3 linked regions of the Arabidopsis thaliana genome follow. Each later gene encodes a partner of the first gene's protein in a complex. Each region holds a gene or a part of one and is shown on either strand. Other genes may lie near its edges.

The links. Proteins that work in one complex are often made in the same cells at the same time.
Region 2: ATU2AF65A (region 1) and RSZ21 share a complex: the UniProt entries of both Arabidopsis thaliana proteins name them as parts of the spliceosome.
Region 3: ATU2AF65A (region 1) and SR30 share a complex: the UniProt entries of both Arabidopsis thaliana proteins name them as parts of the spliceosome.

Annotation. Positions count from the first base shown.
Region 1 is NC_003075.7:17,291,870-17,300,965, reverse strand, and holds ATU2AF65A (U2 snRNP auxilliary factor, large subunit, splicing factor), read left to right. Parts: upstream 1-3,237; 5' UTR 3,238-3,356; coding exon 3,357-3,470; intron 3,471-3,651; coding exon 3,652-3,938; intron 3,939-4,037; coding exon 4,038-4,136; intron 4,137-4,232; coding exon 4,233-4,306; intron 4,307-4,739; coding exon 4,740-4,816; intron 4,817-4,888; coding exon 4,889-4,936; intron 4,937-5,021; coding exon 5,022-5,081; intron 5,082-5,174; coding exon 5,175-5,235; intron 5,236-5,320; coding exon 5,321-5,433; intron 5,434-5,553; coding exon 5,554-6,000; intron 6,001-6,126; coding exon 6,127-6,262; coding exon of another isoform or gene 6,263-6,535; coding exon 6,536-6,603; intron 6,604-6,689; coding exon 6,690-6,827; 3' UTR 6,828-7,019; downstream 7,020-9,096. Other genes in the region: AT4G36700 (RmlC-like cupins superfamily protein), read left to right, coding at 629-953, 1,039-1,217, 1,303-1,383, 1,540-2,523; AT4G36680 (Tetratricopeptide repeat (TPR)-like superfamily protein), read left to right, coding at 7,249-8,487. UniProt on the Arabidopsis thaliana protein: Necessary for the splicing of pre-mRNA.
Region 2 is NC_003070.9:8,426,757-8,432,344, forward strand, and holds RSZ21 (RS-containing zinc finger protein 21), read right to left. Parts: upstream 2,730-5,588; 5' UTR 2,505-2,729; intron 2,486-2,504; exon of another isoform or gene 2,429-2,485; 5' UTR 2,409-2,428; coding exon 2,320-2,408; intron 2,248-2,319; coding exon 2,159-2,247; intron 2,063-2,158; coding exon 1,849-2,062; intron 1,644-1,848; coding exon 1,479-1,643; intron 1,342-1,478; coding exon 1,335-1,341; 3' UTR 501-1,334; downstream 1-500. Other genes in the region: AT1G23850 (uncharacterized protein), read right to left, coding at 1-289. UniProt on the Arabidopsis thaliana protein: Probably involved in intron recognition and spliceosome assembly.
Region 3 is NC_003070.9:2,942,038-2,948,766, forward strand, and holds SR30 (SERINE-ARGININE PROTEIN 30), read right to left. Parts: upstream 3,940-6,729; 5' UTR 3,782-3,939; coding exon 3,695-3,781; intron 3,572-3,694; coding exon 3,506-3,571; intron 3,420-3,505; coding exon 3,345-3,419; intron 3,266-3,344; coding exon 3,163-3,265; intron 3,078-3,162; coding exon 3,031-3,077; intron 2,924-3,030; coding exon 2,866-2,923; intron 2,743-2,865; coding exon 2,693-2,742; intron 2,550-2,692; coding exon 2,493-2,549; intron 2,420-2,492; coding exon 2,307-2,419; intron 2,210-2,306; coding exon 2,132-2,209; coding exon of another isoform or gene 2,119-2,131; exon of another isoform or gene 1,528-2,118; coding exon of another isoform or gene 1,491-1,527; exon of another isoform or gene 1,190-1,490; coding exon 1,132-1,189; intron 865-1,131; coding exon 850-864; 3' UTR 501-849; downstream 1-500. Other genes in the region: AT1G09130 (ATP-dependent caseinolytic (Clp) protease/crotonase family protein), read right to left, coding at 1-180; AT1G09150 (pseudouridine synthase and archaeosine transglycosylase (PUA) domain-containing protein), read left to right, coding at 4,562-4,572, 5,173-5,254, 5,351-5,418, 5,520-5,617, 6,137-6,273, 6,356-6,423, 6,673-6,729. UniProt on the Arabidopsis thaliana protein: Regulatory splicing factor that modulates alternative splicing and gene expression in specific cell types. Autoregulates its own expression. Probably involved in intron recognition and spliceosome assembly.

The DNA.
Region 1 (9,096 bases):
TATCCGTTCTCAGGCATACAAGTGCAGTTTGGTTAGGCACTCATACATACATACTAACATACACTAGCCCAACCACTATGGACAATTGGGCCTGTCAAATTTTCAACCTTGATGTACAGTACGTGTCCGTGATCATTATCTGCCCAGATGAAATTGAAATGTGAAAGATTCTCGAGTTTTCATTTCCAAAACACATGTTAATAATGCTAATACATAGTATTGGAAAATAAGCATATCCACTAATACCGATATGCATGCATATCTCAATATCGCATCGATGAAAACTATGAACTGCCATCACTTGGAACCGTGTCATTTAACTCGACTGTCGCGCGATATAAACTATGCATCTTTGTTGTTCATACCTTCACAACGTTATCATCAACAGTTATGATCACTTATCAGCCAGATTTTTCAAACTCGAGCTTTGTATTTTAGCGGCAATTTGTTTTTGGTAACAAAGGAACCCATGCACTTGTCAGCGTAAAGCAAACACGTGTCCAAACCATTAAGCCACGTGGTCATTGTCCGACTCTACAACCTCTCTCTGTTTCTTCTCTCATTCCTTTATATGATACTACGATTTAATACGCTTTGCATTGAATAACAAAAAAAAAAACAGAGCACAATGACTAGATTTGCGGTATTGCCACTCTCTGTTCTTCTTCTCGTTCTCTTGTTCCTCTGCACTGAGTCGTTGGCTAAGTCGGAGGAGTCTGAAGAATACGACGTCGCTGTGCCTTCATGTTGCGGGTTTTCGTCTCCTCTTCTGATTAAGAAAGATCAATGGAAACCAATCTTCGAGACGAAGTTTGGACAGATCTCAACCGTTCAAATCGGCAATGGATGCGGTGGAATGGGACCTTACAAGATACATTCCATAACGTTGGAGCCAAACACAATTTTGCTCCCTCTTCTTCTTCATTCCGACATGGTCTTCTTCGTTGACTCTGGTACATAATAAACTGTTTAAATTTCTTCGGTTTGGTTTACAGATCAGTTTCGGTTTAGGTCAAAATTGGATTGTGATTTGTATAGGAAGTGGGATTCTGAATTGGGTTGACGAGGAAGCGAAGAGTACCGAGATCAGACTAGGAGACGTTTACAGGCTACGTCCCGGTTCGGTTTTCTACTTACAGAGCAAACCGGTGGATATCTTCCTTGGAACCAAACTTAAGCTTTACGCAATCTTCTCCAACAACGATGAGTGTTTACATGTATAAGTTTGATATGATTCTTTCTTTTTTCACTTTCTTGACATCTTTTTCTTCTTCTTATTGTATCTGTATTCCATGGATGCAGGATCCTTGCTTTGGTGCCTATTCGAGTATCACAGATCTAATGTTTGGTTTTGATGAGACAATTCTCCAGTCAGCTTTTGGGGTATGTCTTAATCTGCCGATGAATAAGTTACGAATTGTCTATATCTTACTTGGGAAGCAAGATAGGAATTGTGTATATCTTACTTCCCAACTTACTCTAGTAGAGGATATTTTGGGTTGTATTAAGTGATATATTAAATTCAATGGTTTTAATTAGGTTCCTGAGGGGATTATAGAGCTGATGAGGAACCGTACGAAGCCACCATTGATCGTGAGTGAGACGCTTTGCACACCAGGTGTGGCCAACACTTGGCAGCTCCAACCGCGATTACTAAAGCTCTTTGCTGGAAGTGCAGACTTGGTGGATAACAAGAAGAAGAAAGAGAAGAAAGAGAAGAAGGAGAAGGTGAAGAAAGCGAAGACATTCAATGTTTTCGAATCTGAACCGGATTTCGAGAGCCCCTACGGTCGTACTATAACGATTAACAGGAAGGATCTGAAAGTTTTAAAAGGCTCAATGGTTGGAGTTTCCATGGTGAATCTCACTCAAGGATCGATGATGGGACCGCACTGGAATCCATGGGCTTGCGAGATTTCGATTGTATTGAAAGGAGCAGGAATGGTTAGGGTTCTTAGGTCTTCGATATCATCAAACACATCATCAGAGTGTAAGAACGTGAGGTTTAAAGTAGAGGAAGGAGATATTTTCGCAGTTCCACGGTTACATCCAATGGCTCAAATGTCTTTCAACAATGACTCGTTAGTGTTCGTTGGGTTTACTACTTCAGCTAAGAATAACGAGCCGCAGTTCTTAGCCGGGGAGGACTCGGCTTTGCGGATGCTTGACCGGCAAGTATTGGCTGCATCGCTTAATGTGAGTAGTGTGACGATTGATGGATTGTTGGGAGCTCAGAAGGAAGCTGTTATCTTGGAATGTCATTCTTGTGCGGAAGGAGAGATAGAGAAGCTTAAGGTGGAGATAGAGAGGAAGAAAATAGATGATGAGAGGAAGAGGAGACATGATGAAAGGAAGAAAGAAGAAGAAGAGGCGAAGAGAGAAGAGGAAGAGAGGAGGAAACGTGAAGAAGAAGAAGAGAAGAAGCGGTGGCCACCTCAACAACCACCACAAGAAGAAGAACTTAGGGAACGGCAACTACCGATGGAGAAAGAATGGGAAATGGAAGGTGAAGAGGAGAGTTAAGCCGGAGGAGTAAAAGAGAAGGCCAACGTACGTCAAGAGTGTGTTTGGTTTGTTGTTAGTGGTTAGAACTTTGGTTCTGACCTCTCTTGTAACTTTTTTTTTCCATAGTCTTGTTTATTTGTTAATGTACTTTTGCATTGTTTTTGTTGTTGCCATGTTTAAAGTTGTATTGTGTTTGTATAATGTTTTGTTTTGTTTAAATCTTTGTAGATGGTAAATGAGAAATAAGTAAATATTTCCGAGAGACTGTTGAGTGACGACGTTACTTCTTGTTATTGATAACTCTGTGGTTTATTATACACTTGTAGTAGTAGTCGTACTTGCTAACTTATGTCATTTGGTTTACAATTGTATAATGTATTTGTAACCCTCTTGCTATAGCTTCGGCATATTAAAGTTTTGAATGGTGATAACGGAGGAGTCGTAGATAATGCAATCAACTTCCCATGCTCTGTTCTCTTGTTGTTGCAAGAGATATTGGAATAAAAGGCAAATTTATCTCAAACACAGATTGGGCCATATCTTGAAAAGGCAAATTCATAAAACTCTCAAAAAGTAGATTTATCCCAAACACGAATTGGGCCAACTATTGGACCGGATGCGCTGAATAATGGGCCTTATCAGATTTGGACCGGCCTGTTTTTATATGACATTTACAAAAATACCCTCACAGGAGGTCCCGTGTTGGCTATAAAAAAATAGAATAATCCGTAATTGCCCTAAAATAGTTTGGTTTCTGCATCCACCCCTTTCTTCGAATCTCGACGGCTGAAACAGATTCTAAATTTATCTCCGGTGAGAAAGAGATAGAGAGCGTTGATTCCGGCGAAAAGATGTCTGAATTCGAAGATCACGAGGGAAACGGTACGGTTGCTGACGCGATTTACGACGAAGAGAATGGTGGCCGCGACGGCGAAATCGAGGATCAATTGGACTCGAAACCCAAGGTAATTTCCCCCCTGATTATCTTCAATCTCCTAGCTTATAGTTGGAGTTTCGAATCTATATTTCCTAGCAATTGGATTGAATTGAGAATCGAATTATGAGATGATTAGTTTTAAAGCTGCTTCTGTTTCATTGATTCTTAAACTGTAATTGATGAGGTTTTGGGTGTGTTTACATGTGCAGAGAGAATCGCGTGACCATGAAAGAGAGACATCAAGAAGTAAAGATAGAGAAAGAGAGAAGGGTCGTGATAAGGACAGAGAAAGAGACTCTGAAGTCTCTCGCCGAAGCAGGGATAGAGATGGAGAGAAAAGCAAGGAGAGGAGTAGAGACAAAGACAGAGATCATCGTGAGCGTCATCACAGAAGTAGTCGTCACAGGGATCATAGCAGGGAGCGTGGTGAAAGAAGAGAACGTGGTGGTAGGGATGATGATGATTACCGTCGAAGCCGTGATCGTGACCATGATAGGTAGACTGTTCTTGAATTGAATTATACATTTTCAATTTAGATTGAATCCTTTTTGATTTTATGGAAGGTACTGATTTGGCTTATTTTTTATTCTTCTAGGCGGAGAGATGATAGAGGAGGAAGACGCAGTCGTCGATCTCGATCTCGTTCAAAGGATAGATCTGAGCGCAGAACAAGGTCACGATCTCCATCGAAAAGGTAGCATTTTTTTCTCATTGGATTACTTACTCTTCTATGAAGTAATTGCTTCAATCTAAGAAAGTTTCTAACCTCACTCAATATATGTTGTTGCAGTAAGCAGCGAGTCAGTGGATTCGATATGGCACCTCCAGCCTCTGCAATGTTAGCTGCTGGTGCTGCTGTTACAGGTATATCTCTTTAATTTAGCACCTTCTCATTAGCATAATGTAGAATTCATACCTAATACACGTACTGGGATTGATAAAATCTGTTTCTCCTGAATAACTACAAAAACATAGGCTGTTTTCTTTCTTTTTTTACTTGGGACATAACGCTAGAACTGAGAGCTTTTGGTTGTTTGGTGGTCTTTGTGTCTCTTGTTTGCTTTTCTGTTTTGGTAAGGCAACACTGGGTGTGGGCTGGTTAGCTCTTATATACAAGGAAGAATTACTGCGTATGGGTATTGCTCATCCTCAGTACATATCACTGGTTTTGTTAGTCTTGCAAAAATTTTCCATGCAGACTTAAACCTCTTGATGTCACCAATACATTTCCAGGGATGGTAAACTAGGTTTTCTCATATGTAATTTTCTTATGTATTAACCTGTTTTTCTTTTGTAGGCCAAGTTCCTCCCGCTCCACCAACTCTTCCTGGGGCTGGAATGTTTCCCAACATGTTTCCATTGCCGACTGGACAGGTCTGTGGTCTTTCCCTTTTAATATTTTCTTAATTGATGTCTTTCTTGAACTAAGTCGTCTATGTCCTACAGTCATTTGGGGGACTCTCTATGATGCCAATTCAGGCTATGACACAGCAGGTTAGATTTTATTTATCATGGATATACGCAAGATACTATGTATTTCTCTGTTCTAATTTAATCCTTATTTACTTTGTGTCTTCAGGCAACTAGACATGCTCGCAGAGTCTATGTCGGTGGGCTTTCCCCTACGGCAAATGAACAGGTTATTATCCACTTTCTTTTTTCATTTTCTCCCACTGAAATATGTTTCAGCAAATAATGATACTAACATTGATTTATTATTTTGTATTTGCAGTCTGTGGCTACATTTTTTAGTCAAGTTATGGCTGCTGTTGGTGGAAACACTGCTGGTCCAGGTACATAATCCTGGTGCAGATGCTAGAGTGTCTATTATGATACTTGGATTAATCTTTTTTTATAAATCTTTTTTCTTACTCGCAGGTGATGCAGTTGTTAATGTCTACATAAACCACGAGAAGAAGTTTGCTTTTGTGGAGATGCGATCTGTTGAAGAGGCAAGTAACGCTATGTCTTTGGATGGGATTATATTTGAGGTATGTTTTAATGTTTACCGCACTACCAAATATTTGGTTGAGTTTTAGTACTGGCATTTCTTTGGTATATAGGTTACCCAACTGAATGCTTATCTTTCTTTTTCTTTTTTTCTTTTCCAGGGAGCTCCGGTGAAGGTGAGGAGACCTAGTGACTATAACCCATCTCTAGCTGCGACTCTTGGTCCAAGCCAGCCCAGTCCCCATCTAAACTTAGCTGCTGTTGGTCTGACTCCAGGTGCTTCTGGTGGGCTTGAGGGACCAGATCGTATTTTTGTTGGTGGACTTCCATATTACTTCACGGAATCACAAGTGAGGGAGTTGTTGGAGTCCTTTGGAGGCCTCAAGGGCTTTGATCTTGTAAAAGATCGAGAAACAGGGAACTCTAAAGGATATGCCTTTTGTGTGTACCAAGATCTTTCTGTTACAGATATCGCGTGCGCTGCCCTAAATGGTATCAAGATGGGAGATAAGACTCTTACAGTGAGACGTGCCAACCAGGGAACAATGCTACAAAAGCCTGAACAAGAGAACGTATTATTGCATGCACAGCAGCAAATAGCTTTTCAGGTAATTTTTTTTCTTCTTAATAATATTGGAAGAAAACAAAATGAGCTTGCAAAACGTGTTGAGACCTAACTTGAATATTTCCATTTATAAGATTAAAAGACTGATTGATGGTTTTATCTTTTGCAGAGGGTTATGTTACAGCCTGGTGCAGTGGCAACCACTGTGGTGTGTCTGACTCAAGTTGTTACTGAGGATGAGCTTAGAGATGATGAGGAGTATGGAGATATAATGGAAGACATGAGACAGGAAGGCGGAAAGTTTGGTAAGAGACCTCTTAATTGCGCAATATGGTCTATTTTGAAATATAAGATTAAAAGCATATTGATCTGTCTCTCTGTTTTCTTGGTTGTGCTGTTTTACAGCCTTTTGCTATAAAGAATCAGCCCTAACATACACAGACAGGAGACTGCATAAACCTCCTAATCTATTTATCACCAATGGCCACTATTTCTTAAAAGAAAAAACTGACTTGTTTTTGTCTGTGTTTTCTTGTCTTGTATTCGAAATGTTTTGTTCTTTAACTCTTAAAATGCAGGTGCTTTGACCAATGTTGTGATTCCGCGTCCAAGCCCCAATGGTGAGCCAGTGGCAGGCCTTGGCAAGGTAAACTTATCTCTCTCTCTTTCTCTCTACTTCTTGTATATTTCTATTTAGTCGTAATCTGACTGTCTGATATATTTAATGTGCAGGTGTTTTTGAAGTATGCCGATACAGATGGCTCGACTAGGGCAAGATTCGGGATGAATGGTAGGAAATTTGGAGGAAATGAAGTCGTTGCAGTGTATTACCCTGAAGACAAGTTTGAACAGGGTGATTATGGAGCCTGATCACTTCTTTGTTTGCTTTCTATTACTTAAAAGTTAAGTACTTTGCTTCAGTTTCAAGACCCTTTTGCGTGATTGTAAGAGTATGAGATTATCGACACGTTGCTTATTATAACGTTTTTATCTCATATCTTTGGTCTATTTCTTAAATATTTATCTCAAAAATTATTCACAGAATAACATCATGAGTCCCTCGTAAAACATCATTCGTCTCTCGTAAATGTGACATATGTTCTAAATCAACACAAGAAGTTGAGTACTCTCTCTATTGAAATATTCAAGTAGTTTGGTTCTCTTCTGATAGAAGAAAAAAGAAAGAAAAAGAAGCAAACTTGTAAAACCCAAAAATCTCTGTTAAGCCACTAAAACCCTAAAGGCGTCTCCTTTTCTCGCCACCACTCTCCACAATACCCATTTCTGCAAAATGGCTTCTTCTCGTATTTCTCTCCGCCTTGTTCGCCGATTTGCCTCAGCCGCCGCTGACGGTACGACCACCGCTCCCTCTTCAGGCAAAATCTCTGTCTCCAAAGCTAAGTCCACTCTCCGGAAAGAACACGATCCCGACAAAGCTCTTAAGATCTACGCCAATGTCTCCGATCACTCAGCCTCTCCTGTTTCATCTCGCTACGCCCAAGAGCTCACTGTTCGTCGCCTCGCCAAGTGTCGCCGTTTCTCAGACATCGAAACCCTAATTGAATCCCACAAAAATGATCCCAAAATCAAAGAAGAACCTTTCTACTCTACGCTTATCAGATCTTACGGCCAAGCCTCTATGTTTAATCACGCCATGAGAACCTTCGAGCAGATGGATCAATACGGCACACCCAGATCAGCTGTTTCCTTCAACGCCTTGCTCAACGCTTGTCTCCATTCCAAGAATTTCGATAAAGTCCCCCAACTGTTCGACGAAATTCCTCAGAGGTACAATAAGATCATCCCTGACAAAATCTCTTACGGTATATTGATTAAGTCATACTGTGACTCTGGTACCCCTGAAAAAGCCATTGAGATTATGAGACAGATGCAAGGTAAAGGCATGGAAGTTACTACCATTGCTTTCACCACCATTTTGAGTTCATTGTATAAGAAAGGTGAGCTCGAGGTAGCTGATAACTTGTGGAATGAGATGGTGAAGAAAGGCTGTGAATTGGATAATGCAGCGTATAATGTTCGTATAATGAGTGCTCAAAAGGAAAGCCCTGAAAGAGTTAAGGAGTTGATTGAAGAAATGAGTAGTATGGGATTGAAACCTGATACGATTAGCTATAACTATCTTATGACTGCGTATTGTGAGAGAGGAATGTTGGACGAAGCTAAGAAAGTGTATGAAGGACTTGAAGGTAACAACTGTGCTCCCAACGCAGCTACTTTTAGGACATTGATATTTCATCTTTGTTATAGCCGATTGTACGAGCAAGGCTATGCGATCTTCAAGAAGAGTGTGTATATGCACAAGATTCCAGATTTCAACACTTTGAAGCATTTGGTTGTGGGATTGGTGGAGAACAAGAAAAGAGATGACGCTAAAGGGTTGATTAGAACGGTGAAGAAGAAATTCCCTCCGAGTTTCTTGAATGCGTGGAAGAAACTCGAGGAGGAACTCGGGCTGTATTCAAAAACCGATGCTTTTCCATCTTCTGCAAAAGAGGCTGCTGCTGCTTAATAGCTCAAGAGCATTTCGATTGAACATCTTATTTTGTTGCTTGAAGACTTGTTGAAAACTATGATCTAGTATGCAGGTTTATTTATAAGCTGCTCCTGCATTTTTCTTTCCTCATAAATTAGCTTGTAAAAGCTTGACGGTTTGTTGTTGGAATCTCTAGAATTCCATAGTCAACAATTTTCAGGTTCATATAGTTCACTGCTTTGTTCTACACACTTGTGCTTCATGATGAATTCAAGTTTCTTTCAGTTTTATGTTGTTTTTACATATCCTTCTACTTGCAACTAAAGGGTCAAGCTGGTTCTGTTGGTATAGCTAAACTCTGTTTCTTGGTACGAAGATGGTTTCGCGTATAGTGGAATCTTGATCTCGTTGGAACTCAATTTGACTTGGCTTCCCCTAATTTTGACTTGCACGAAAGATAAGAGTGACAAATTTTCAACAATGATTTTGATAGGTTTCTGATCAGGTAAGTATTTGAGTTGCAACATCTTTCAGAGAATTTGCAAATCCTAAGGTTGCAAAATGTTAATCATCTTGCGTAGTTGTTTGCTTATTTTGTATCAATAGCTCTAAATTTAATTAAAAAGATTCCAAAGTTCAAACGAA
Region 2 (5,588 bases), on another chromosome or scaffold:
CGTACGGGAACAAGTAGAGTAGAAATGTCTGGATAAGCAATGGAATCAGATTCTCCAAGACGGAAGCATCTTGAGGAACGTAGTAGTAATCCCAATTAGTGAGTTGTCGAACGAGGTATTGAGAAGCGAGTGAGACAGTGGTTTGGAGTGAAAGCTCGAAGAAGATCAAGAAACAAAAGAGGGGGAGAGAGCAAAGGAAGAGGAAGAGAACAAGATTGATGTTACCACATAGAAGCTTTGTTGCTCGTTTGAGTATGTTGATGAAACCTAGATCCTCCTCAATCTTCATCTTCTTTCACAGTTCTCTTCTTCTCTACAAAGAAAAAGGGAGAGTACAGATCTACTACAGTTTTTTATTCGTAAATATGGAGTCGTTTCTTCATTGACGTTGACGTAAGAATTGGTATACCAACAAATCTGAACCAAATTGCCTCAAAACCAAATTTAGAAAAGTATTAAAATGAAAACATGTGGCGGCCGAAGAAGAACAGATTAAAAGTCGAGATTAATTGGGAAAAGAAAAGCATAAGTGGGAAACCAAATCATGAACACAAAAGACTAAGCTAACACGTTTTTCACAAGCAATATAAAAAAGAAGCATCCACAAATGGGTTTAATTTAATGTAAGTGTGTGATCCACCAACAGATGTGTAACAAAGTTGACCGAAAAACAAAAGTGAGTAGAGAAACCAAGTGGTGATATAGCAGCCGAGAGCTAGGAAGAGGACGGGGTGAAGAAACAGATTCGTCTTTCTCAATAGAAGCTTGGTTGCAGACTTGGGGTAGGAGTGGTGAGTAAAGAGCAGGGCAATCTAAAAGTCACACAATGTAACAAGCAAATTCTAGCTGATGTTGGTCGAGTTGAGGATGCAGATTCATGATAAAACTAAGTTGTGGGGAGAGTAAGATGCAGCTGTGCTGCCAAGAGATCCCCGATAAATCATACCTCACAAGGGAAAAAGAGTGGAAACAGTTGAGCTTTTTAGATATGTCTATATAATAAGGAAAGTGCATTCAACAAGAGACAAAACATTTATGGATACGAAAGAACGACCTCAAGTGTAGGGGTTCAAGGACGCTGTGTGAAGACAGCAGGCCAGTGCGTGTTATAGAGAATAAGTCAAGACGGCTGTTGGAAAACAGCATGAAGGAGAACTCACCAAATCCAATTGTCTAATAAAACTCGAACATACCATGACATGTCCATGCTCAACAACCAAACCTAGAAGAGCTAATACCATAATAGCAGATATAAAGATCTATCCTAAAAGGCGCCACAGAGTAGATATAGCATCATAGCTTAGTAATAGCTTCTTTCTCTTCAGGGTCCAGTTTCACACCCTGCAGAAACGCAAACGAATATATACCTTATATCAAAATACTTCAAATGTTATTCACATCTACATAGACAATGCTGAAGTTGAGTCATGCAGATTGAGAAAGTAAACCTAAATCCAAGAAGAGAAAAGAACTTTTACCCATTGGCATATGGCGAACGTCGACCATAGGGCGAGTCTCTGCGGCGAGGAGAATCACGGCGTGAACCACGATAAGGAGGGGATCTGCTGTAGCTCCTCCCACGGCGAGGTGGAGTAACACTGCGACGCCTTGGAGGAGATCTTCTTCCACGCGGGCTTATACTCCTGAACAAAATCAATTCCACAGGAACAAAAATGTATGTCACAAAGCGATTATAACATCAAGAAAGGTACTATCAACATTAACAACTCAGCCCCTATACATGATTACAAAGTGCAATTTCAATGGATATGTTAACACAATGGACATACTAATGACATACTATCTCATCTAAGCAGCTCAATAAGAATGTTTCCGTTGGATCGTTACCTGCGAGCATACCCATAATCTGGACTCCTACGACGACGGGGACTAGGGCTTCTACGCCTCACAGAGCCTCGACCACGGCGACACTCGCGAGCAAAATGTCCAAGCTCACCACACTCATAGCACTTGGAATCCTCAATACCTCCACGACGACCACCACCACCTCCACGACCTCCTTTATCTTTATGAGAAAGCTCCACACGCCACCCATTCTTTCCTGAAGTATACGCCACAAGAGTAAAACTTTTCAATGACCAAACAATAATACAAACATTACATGGTAACTAAGAGGTCTAATGAGAAGAACACTAACGATCCAATGCGCTGATTGCATCCAAAGCATCTCTTTCGTCATCGAACTCGAGGAATGCGTAGCCAGGAGGTCTACGAGCTACCCAGACACTGCGATTTTTAAGATTCAGAGTCATAATTCGTATGGCTTGAAACAAAATTGAGTACAGAGATAGGACTTACTTGCGAAGAACACCGAAGGCCTTGAATTCGTCTTCGAGTTCTCTTTCGGTGACGCGTGGGTCCAAATTCCCGACATAAACCCTCGTCATGTTGCAAAGATCAGTTGAATCTGAACGAAAGAGAATCGAATTTTGTGAAGAAATATGGATATCGATAATAGTTACAGCGAGTAGTTAACAAGGTACCTGAGATTCTTGGTCCTGAGCAGCGAAGCGGGATGTTTTAGGGTTCAGACTCAGACTACGGCGAGGAAAGAGAGTAACCAAGTTATTTCATTATTATATGAAAACTGAAAAGTAAAAAAAAATTAACATCATATATTATTTGGTCATTTATTAGTTATTTCATGGTCCCTTATTTTTCGGTAATCCATATATTCATAAACAAAGTTTTAGCGACCAAAATGTAAGACTAGTCTCCCATAGTCGATTAGTTAACGTAAAAAGAGAATTGAGGTGAAAGCGGATTTTGAAACTATGCAAAACATCTTTGACAACAAAAGTTATGCAAACATGTTTCTAGAGTTTGATGTCTAATTACTGTAACTTGACGTGATTCTCAGTCTGAAAAAAACTAATGGGCCTAAAACCCATAACCTTTTGGTTAAAATTTTAAAAATATGAGCAAGTTTCAGTTGCTTAATGGCCCATATGAGTTGGTTTTGGTTTTCAACTTTTGCATCAGTACTTGTATCTTCTTAAATTTTCAAAATATAGTAGGCTGATTAAATCTAAGTTTGGAGTTGGCAAGTGTAACAATTGTTAGTTTTACATATACCTTACCAATTTACACATGATTGGGCACCTAATTCATGTGAACAAGTCTCTAAACGATTGCACACACACAAAAAAAAAAGAGTCTCATTGTTTAAAATTGCGTCGACGTAAATAGAAAAGGTTTCATCATCCCACCAAAAACAAAAAGACACTTATCCATTGGGGAAAACATTCTGAACCAAGATAAGTCATGCTGGGTCCCACTTACATCGACTCCTCTAAGACTGTGTCTTTGACACGTGTTTAGTTATGATTCGTTTATTTGCAGCCACTGTGTAGACCCCACTTACCTCCTTTTACAAAATCGACATTCAATTTACACGTGTCGCTATTCCCTGGCTTGTCCCTTAAGCTGGACATGGGAGGAATAAGATACTCTTTAATTTTTGGATGGCTATGGCTAAATAGATGGCTCAGAAGAAATAAGATGGCCATAACTTCATTCGTTATCCAAAGCTAACATTAATTGGTTAGTATCAAAATTTCTAAAATTGTGAAATATTTATAGAATATTAGTATTTAAAATTATATCTAATTGTATAAAAATTTTGGGGAGTGATTATTAGTGTCATGTTACTTATTGTAACTATCGTTGTGCATATCAATAAAAATATACGGATTTCAATTTTAAACCTCACATTTACAGATATTTAGTTAGATATTTAAAAGGGATATCTGCAAAATGGACAATATAGATATTCGATTTTTTTTATCGTAGTTAACAAATGCATGATATCATGTATCATATTTACACATACTATTCTTTTTTTTTTAAGTCTAGTAAAACGGATAACGGGTTGAAGAAGGATAAAAACATTTGTATCCAGCCAAGCCCTAAATTGGTATTGTCAAGTGGAAGAGCAAGAAAAGTAAAGAAGAAGAAAGTGTCAATCTGATTCGGATCCAATTACCCAATCCTCGTTGGCTTCCTAAACAACGTGAAAACAAAACACGGCTTATATATGTCAACGTTATTTACATTGACACTTGGAACCATTAACACCAAATGGGGATAATATCGTAAAATAACACATGGTTAGTACTTTAGTGACAATCCTAATGCTGCTTTGTCCCTTGGGGGGTTTGAGAGGCCACCCTGACCTACGTGGTGCCCTTTTAATATCAATACATTCCCGATAATGTGTGCTTACATGTTTTAATTATCTTAGTTTAGTCATATAATAATGACTTCGCTTTTAACTATATTATATTTACTATATGTAATATGTACATGCATGTTGCATTCCCAATGATGTTTGTTCCATTTTTATGTCTTTATCTAAGACTTTTAGTAAGACAAGATAACTCTAATGATCTTTCTTTTTTGTTAAAGTAAGAATATATATCGATTCAATTCATCTTATCAATATGGATATAGTCTTAGATCGTGTGTAGAAGTTTTGTTTTTTGACCAATACATTAAATTGTTTTAGTCTTTTTTTTTTTTTTTTTGCCAACGGATTATGATAATTATTTCTTAAAACGTTACCTGCACTTTGTAGAGATGTGACTAGTCGGTATTTTTTTTGTTAACATGAAACGACTTGTCGTCAACATTAGATTTTTGTATACATGGACACCGCCACTTTGATATAAATTTCTCATGTCTTACCAAATCATAGATTCAATATAGCTACTTAAACTATACATTGAAATATTTTTAAAATACATAAAAACAAAAACTGGAACCGTAAACAAAATTGATGGGATGTTTTTTTATTTGTTTCACGGGAAAAGTTTGTAGAATTTAAGCATGCTACATGCAATGTTAAAAACTGTTGTATATTGTAATTTATTTACACCATTAACATTTTATATTGTGTAAACTTAATGATTTGGCACCAGAGTTGAGTTTTTCTTAGAGTCATGTTTACGGAAAATCTGATTCATTTTGGATAAACTCGTAAACGATAGCTCATTATAAAACTAACCAAACTATCATTTTATTAAAGTAATAAAAAAGTTGACCAGTACCAATATACGACCTATACAGAGTAGGTTTGATGAGATCTCATAATCTCTTAAATTAAATACAAATTTAGCATTACCTTTAGATTGGATTAAGGATTAAAATTATTTCATTTGTTTCAGCCGAAAAAAGAAAATGGTCCACCACATTATCTAGTCATCATCTGATCTACTACCAAACCCTACAATAAGAAGATAATAAGAGGATTGAGGGTAATAATGTCATTTACATACACCTTTATATTATTTTATTGCCAAAATTAGAAAAATAGATCGTAAGAAAACGTGTATATGTGCATTTGGTATTATGTTATTCGGTTTTTATATTTTTCTTGTCTCTCATTAAATTTTCTTCTCTATCCAAACTCTGTATAGCCTGTCCCCAAAGAGTCTCGAGTCCTTATCGTGAACTTTTTTGTTCATTCATCTGTTCCACGAAGAAAACAATTTAGATTTCTCCGTTGAAGTTTTTCGCCGGCGATTTAGTGATTCTCGGAGAAGAAGGTGAGTAGCAATAGTGTGATT
Region 3 (6,729 bases), on another chromosome or scaffold:
AGGATCCTTTGGATTTATCGGAGGCATAGGGATTTTGGCAGAGGCTTTGGCGCGAAAGGCGTAACGAAAAGTCTTCAAGTTTCTTCTCCCGGATGAATTCGAAGATAGAGGAGGATGAGGAGAAAAAGAAGAAGAGCGTGGAAGCAGAGAATTCATGGATGCTTGTAAACAAGACGCCATGGTCGAGGAGCTCTTGGACACGGAAGCTCGCGAAAATGGACTCGTTGGACAAAGGAAACCAGAGGATTTATCGATGCTTTCGGAGGGGAGAGAATAATTACTGGGTCGGGTTTCGGGTTGACCCGCTATTTGATATTCCGGCTATAGCCCAAATCACATTTTAGGGAACAGGCCCAGTCGCAATAGACTTTACTTTCGGACCAAATTGCAATTATTCTGGGCCATTTCGTTTACACAAAACTCTGGTGCTATGGCCTATGAGCTGTAGTGTGTTGTTACTGTTGGTAGGATACAGGCAGGGGTTGTACCGTTTTAGAGTGATCTTATCCAAAAACAAAAGCAAGTTTAGTTTTAACACTGCAAGTTTAGTTTAAGATAATCATAAAAGACACCAGTAGTTGTAATGTAAATGTATATGTATGGAAAAACCTCACCACACCCAACACAATGTCTGATGAACTTTATTATGCAGCCGAGACAGAGTTTCCGGCTTTTTAATGACACAATAACAGACCAATTCCAGGTTCACAACTAAAACTAGAAAGACATATTGGTCGTCCCATACAAGAAGACCAGTATAATAATCCCAAATCGGAATCAAATTCTATTAGCAGTGGAGCCTGAGAAGCTTGAGACGATTCGGGTACAGCCAGTGGCCAGTTTTCATTTTCAACCAGATATCACCTGCAAAACATAATATGTAATACCGTTAAGAGAAGAAGAAATGATAACACATGACAGAGGTAGATTATGTTGCTGAAACACTTGGAGAGGCGATTTTTAGTGCACACAGAGGTTGGTGAGACCTAGTCGTTCTAAGACTCTTCAAATTTTATAGTCTGTCTCATGATTTCGTTAAGTTGGTGTTGATTGAAGAACAACCAAAGTGAGCAGGTATTTAAACAAACACCATGGATTGTGAATTAAAGAAGGTTCAGCTTTTAGACTTACAGGTGAAACTGGAGAATTCGATCTTGATCTTGATCTTGATTTTGATCTTGATTGGGACCTGCAGCAAGACCAAAAACCCCATGTAAGTGTGGCATAACAAAGAAATTTACTGACCATCTCCCATCTAGTCCCGGGAGCTTAAATGCTGTCCTAGAAAAGAACTCAACACAGAATCCACTATTGTCAAAAAGATAAATATATTGAGGAATCAGAGTAATCATAGTCCAAAACTTTGCGATCAGATCCTACAGCTGATACGCGCGGAGTACCAGACCAGACCAGACCGTAAAAACAGAAGTTCAAGTTCATGCTAATCCAGCTTTGTAAATCCAGTCCAAGAATCCATCTAGATGACCCATCTAGATCCAATCCCCAGCTCGTAGCAGTGAGCCAGATCTAGAAAACAAACAACGCAATACAATTGTAATCACGGTAAATGATCGAGGACATGCCTCAGAAATCCATCTTCCCCCTTCCGATAGAAATAAATTTTCAAAAAGTGAAACATCTAGCTAAGTGTTCTTTAAATTATAAGTCGGATAATGAAGATTGATACGTAATAAATTCACCGTCGCTGGAAAAAAGTTAAGAAGTAAAGCTTTATCAGAAGGAAACATCCAGAAGAGAACGACACAAAGAGAAAGGAAAAGGACTAAATATGATGGGAGCATCTCTGTCAAGAACTCAAAACATAAAAAACAAACACATTCACGTGTAAGAAATGAAAAGGAACTCTGGTAATCCCAAACAAGGAGGTAACCTTTACCCATATTGGAGTTTGCATGACATAGAAAACATCAACAAAGGAAGAAAATCAAGTGACAATAGACTAGTCCACTATGAGGGAAAAAAGACTCAAACAAATTCAACTGTGTACGGAAGCAACAAAAGGTGCTTAGTTGTAAGTAATAAAGCTAGTAAGGAGTTCACTATGCAAGAACAAGTGATCCATGAAGGGGTAACTACATATATAATAATGATACAAATCTAACACTCATACCTTGAGACAGAGCTGTATAGCGAGCGAGAACGACTAAGGGGCCGTGAACGCGGGGAAATGGATCTAGCAGGTGACACACTGCATTGCATTTAGAAGTCAGTTAATTTCATAAATAAGTTACAATAAAAATCCCTTATATGTCTTAGGTTTATGAAAAAAAAAAAAAAAAAAAGACCTCCTGCTCTTGCTACTATAGCTACAGCTTGGACCACGGCTCCGACTCCTGCTTCTATAGCTTTTAGAATCATCTGGGCTTCGACTCACACTCCTCGACTCATATTCCCTCACCTGAACAGTAAATTCAGAGATGACTCCATATCCACTTATGCTTAACAAAATCAAAGAAAGCAATACAACATACCCGTATATAAGCACTAGAGAAAGCATTTCGAAATTCAGTGGCATCAAGTTTCCTTATCTGTCACATCAAAAATTTTAAGGGAACATCAAAGATCCAACACTGGCCTCCAGGAAGATAAATTCAGCTCGGTATACTATGAAACAAAAGCAGTCTAAGGCATAAGTCCAGGAACATTTGCGTTGCAAAGATATAAAACTTACTGCGTACTTCATATCATCATAGTTGCTATAATCCACAACCCCAGACATGCCTACAAAGAAATACTGAATGTGAGTTTAGCAGTTCAGATGCTTAACACCTATTCTCCTTCACAAAGACTAATTTACTAACACATCAATCAAAAGCTTATCCAAACTATCGAATGTCAACTCACCTTTACGGTCAGGGAAAACTTCAGAGAAGCAGACATCTCCAGCTTTGCGCATGTGATCCTAATCACCCGTAAATAGCAAATAACATCATTTCAGAAAAGAGATAAATCCAAAACATGATATAGAGAACCAACATTCAGAGAAAAAGACTATATAGTGTCCCTTACCTTAAGGTCCTGCCACGAAGCAGAAGGCGGTAATCCGGTCACAAGCACTACATGTTTAGGTAGTAAAAATGAGTTTTCAAATATAAAATTTTACACAACACCAAATAACACAATCGAGAAGACTCTACAAACCGCGGTAGTCAGAGCGTCTTGAAGGTGCACGGCTCGCACTGTAGCTGCTGCTGTACCTATCAACTGATGGTGAAAATCTACGACCACCATGTGCAATCTCAACCTAAAAACATCACACAAAGATAACACCTTTACAAGAAATTACAGAAAATTAAGCTAGCTTTCATCATGCGTTTACTAACCCGAAGTCGACACCCATCAAAATCATAACCATCACGTCCATAAATTGCATCGTCTGCATCACGAGGATCTTCAAACTGCCACCAATAACAAACTATCTTAGTCATTAGCCTATACTATTACAAGAAGAAGAAAAAAACAAATTTGTACTTGATCAATATACCTCGACAAAGGCATAACCAGGAGGTCTCGGTGGAATCTTCAAATCAATGTCCACAATTGGTCCATACTGAAACAAATATACATAAGAGTCGATTTAAATTGTCTCAGCAAGACAGAATTGCAAATTTATGAACCCAAACAAGTCATAATGAATTCAATTTTTATCGAGAGAAAAGAGGAATTTTCAAACCTTGTAGAAGAGATCTTCAACCTCACACTTGCGAATATCTCCAGGCAAATTCCCAACGTAGATCGTACGATTCCATCGGCTACTCATCTGATACCTCAGAGCAGAAAATTAGTTCCTGTAAAAATCTAGAAGAGAAGAAATTGATTACTGGAAAAATAATTTCGAGAAAGAAGAAGAAGAAGATGTTCGAGAAAGCGTTAGATTGTTCTGGAAAGGAGACAACCACCGTTCGTTTGGAAACTAGTATCCTTTTATAAAACGGAACTGGATTTTAATCCTGTGCGGCCGCATGTATCAACGATGAATAGCCCAGTTGATCAAGATCGGCCCATATGTTTTAATGGGCCTGTTAATATATTGTTCTAACCGGATCGAATGTGTTTTTTCTTATCATTCAAACCGGAATATTGTATGTTAGTTATTACAATTCGAACCAATTTCGAATCGGATTCGGACCATCGGGTCATTCATTCTCCTAGGTTTCCTAAACACTGTCGTTTTTGGACAAAAGAGACACTAGATCGGAAACACTTGGGGATTTTTTTGAGAGAAACATTCTCTCGGTTCCTCTACTACCACCTCTCAAATCTCAATTCGCCGATTAGTAACTCCGTCCAAGACCATTTTCCGCCGTGACACCGTCCACGGTCTCTCTCAGTCCGTGAGTTCCTGCTCTGTTCCGTTTGGTTTTTCTGTTTTGGAATTTCAGTATTTTTCCTATTGAATTTGTTGCGATATGATGTCCAAATTTTTGGTTTGTTGAGTGATGTTCCGATATTTCCGTTATCAATCATCTTCCACTGTTCGCTTGCAGGGAAGAAGATACCATAGTTAGAAGCTGGTGATCATTTTCAATAAACCTCGAACATGTTTAAGAAGTAAGCATCTTTGTCTCTTTCTAGATTCTTTCTCTACTTTTTTATTTAGATAGAAACTGTTTTTCATACCCGGATTGTAGAATCTAAGAATTAGTGGTTTCAACATCTCGGCATTGTTTATACTAGTTGATAAAGAATGTGATGGTCTCTTTATTTAGTATCCACTTACTCTAATAACTATCGAGAACTCACTCCCTTCTACTTGTTGTCGACCACATTGTTAATTTGATTGCTTAGAGTAGCCTTGGTATGGGCATATTGGTTGTTATATTTTCTTCAAAGTAGAAGGTTTTGAGTTCTCAAAAGCTAACATCTTGCTATTGTAAAGTTTTGGTTTCTATATTGATAGTGTCACTATTTGATTTATCAAATCTGTACAAAGAGTCGTGGGTCATAGAGGAAAGTTTGTGTCTTGATTTGACCAGTCTAAACTCTCTACTATCATGGAGTTTGTGTTTATCCATCTCCTGAAACATGCTTATACATTCATAGTGAATCTTGTATAAAGTTTATTTTTCCCTACTGCTATCAACTTTAGATCTATTTGATATACCATTATGTCTATGAAGGTGTTATTTATGTTCACTACTTTTTATTTAGGTTTTGTTTGGAGGAGATTTCATCACAAAACCAAGTGAAGGCATCTGTTCAACGTAGGATCCGCCAGAGTATCCAAGATGAGGTATGTCTGTTGTTTCATTTGTCTTTTTCCCCTTCTTAAACTTTTATGATTTCGTGAAGTTTGTCAGATATAAATATGTTTATGTTAATGTTGCAGTACCCGGGACTTGAATCAGTGATGGAGGATCTACTTCCCAAAAAGATTCCTCTTATCGTAGTGAAGTGGTCTGTAAATTAACAAACTCATATTCATTGTTTTGTTTTCTGAATTTTCTTTTACCCACTATCTATGTCTTACAGTATTCCTGACTATATTTCTCGTGCAGCCCAAACCATCTGACCCTAGTTGTTGTCAACAATGTCCCCCTCTTCTTCTGTATCCGTGACGGGCCATACATGCCAACACTGCGGCTTCTTCATCAATGTAATATCACTTTTCCTTCACACCATCCATGCTATATGGTCTTGTTATCAAAACATAACATATCTGGGTGTTTTATTCATACAATCACTCTTCTTCACACCTGTTAGTCTTACTGTGGTCTGCAGTAGAACTTACCTGGTTCAAATACTGCATATACCTGAATAGTATGTCCGACACTTTTCTCTGAGTTATTTAGAACTTCCTGGGGTTTGGTTCCTGTAAGTTGTTGTTCCTTTGGCTTTTTTCATGCGAGTGAACTATATAAAAGGTCCACGTATGATTGGTTAGCCAGGATTTTTGTTTAGTATATTTTGTTTTATGTTTTCCGGGTTAGCTGACCCTTATCATAGTGAGAAGGTTTTGGCATTGGCTGTTACCAGAAGAGTATAAAATATTCTTGAAAACACCACGTTCAGCTAACTTTTACATACTTGAATGATACATAGAAAGAAACTTGGAGTTTTTTCAATTAGCCACGAATGTCAAAAATTTGGCAGCTGAATGTTTGGAGTTTTGCAGACCCAAATATAATGAAGAGGTTTCAAGTTGATAGAGGTGCCATAAAGTTTGTTCTGTCTGGTGCAAACATAATGTGTCCTGGTCTTACATCCCCGGGAGGCGTTCTGGATCAAGAAGTCGAGGCTGAAAGGCCAGTGGTATGAATAAAAACAGTATTTCCCTGGGTTGCATTTTTGTTTGTATATGCTGATCTTAAACCATGAATCTGTATTTGTTTAGGCCATATATGCAGAAGGAAAGCAACATGCCTTAGCAATAGGCTTCACCAAAATGTCAGCAAAGGACATGTAAGTCAATTTTTCGCTGGAATTTATTTGAAAATACAAACATGTGCTTTGATATACTTTCGTATCTTAGCCAAAATACAGTCTCTTGGCTCCAGGCCTCTCCAAGTAACCCTATCTTTGTCACTTTATTGATATTCCTTCTTCCCTTAGATACACATACCTGCACCAGGATCAATTTTGGCCGTGTTTCCCCTGTTTGCTCATAAAATTTCTTTCGCATCGCTAAACTTTTCTTGTGTATGTTCACAGAAAGAGCATTAACAAAGGAATAGGAGTTGACAACATGCATTACCTCAACGACGGTCT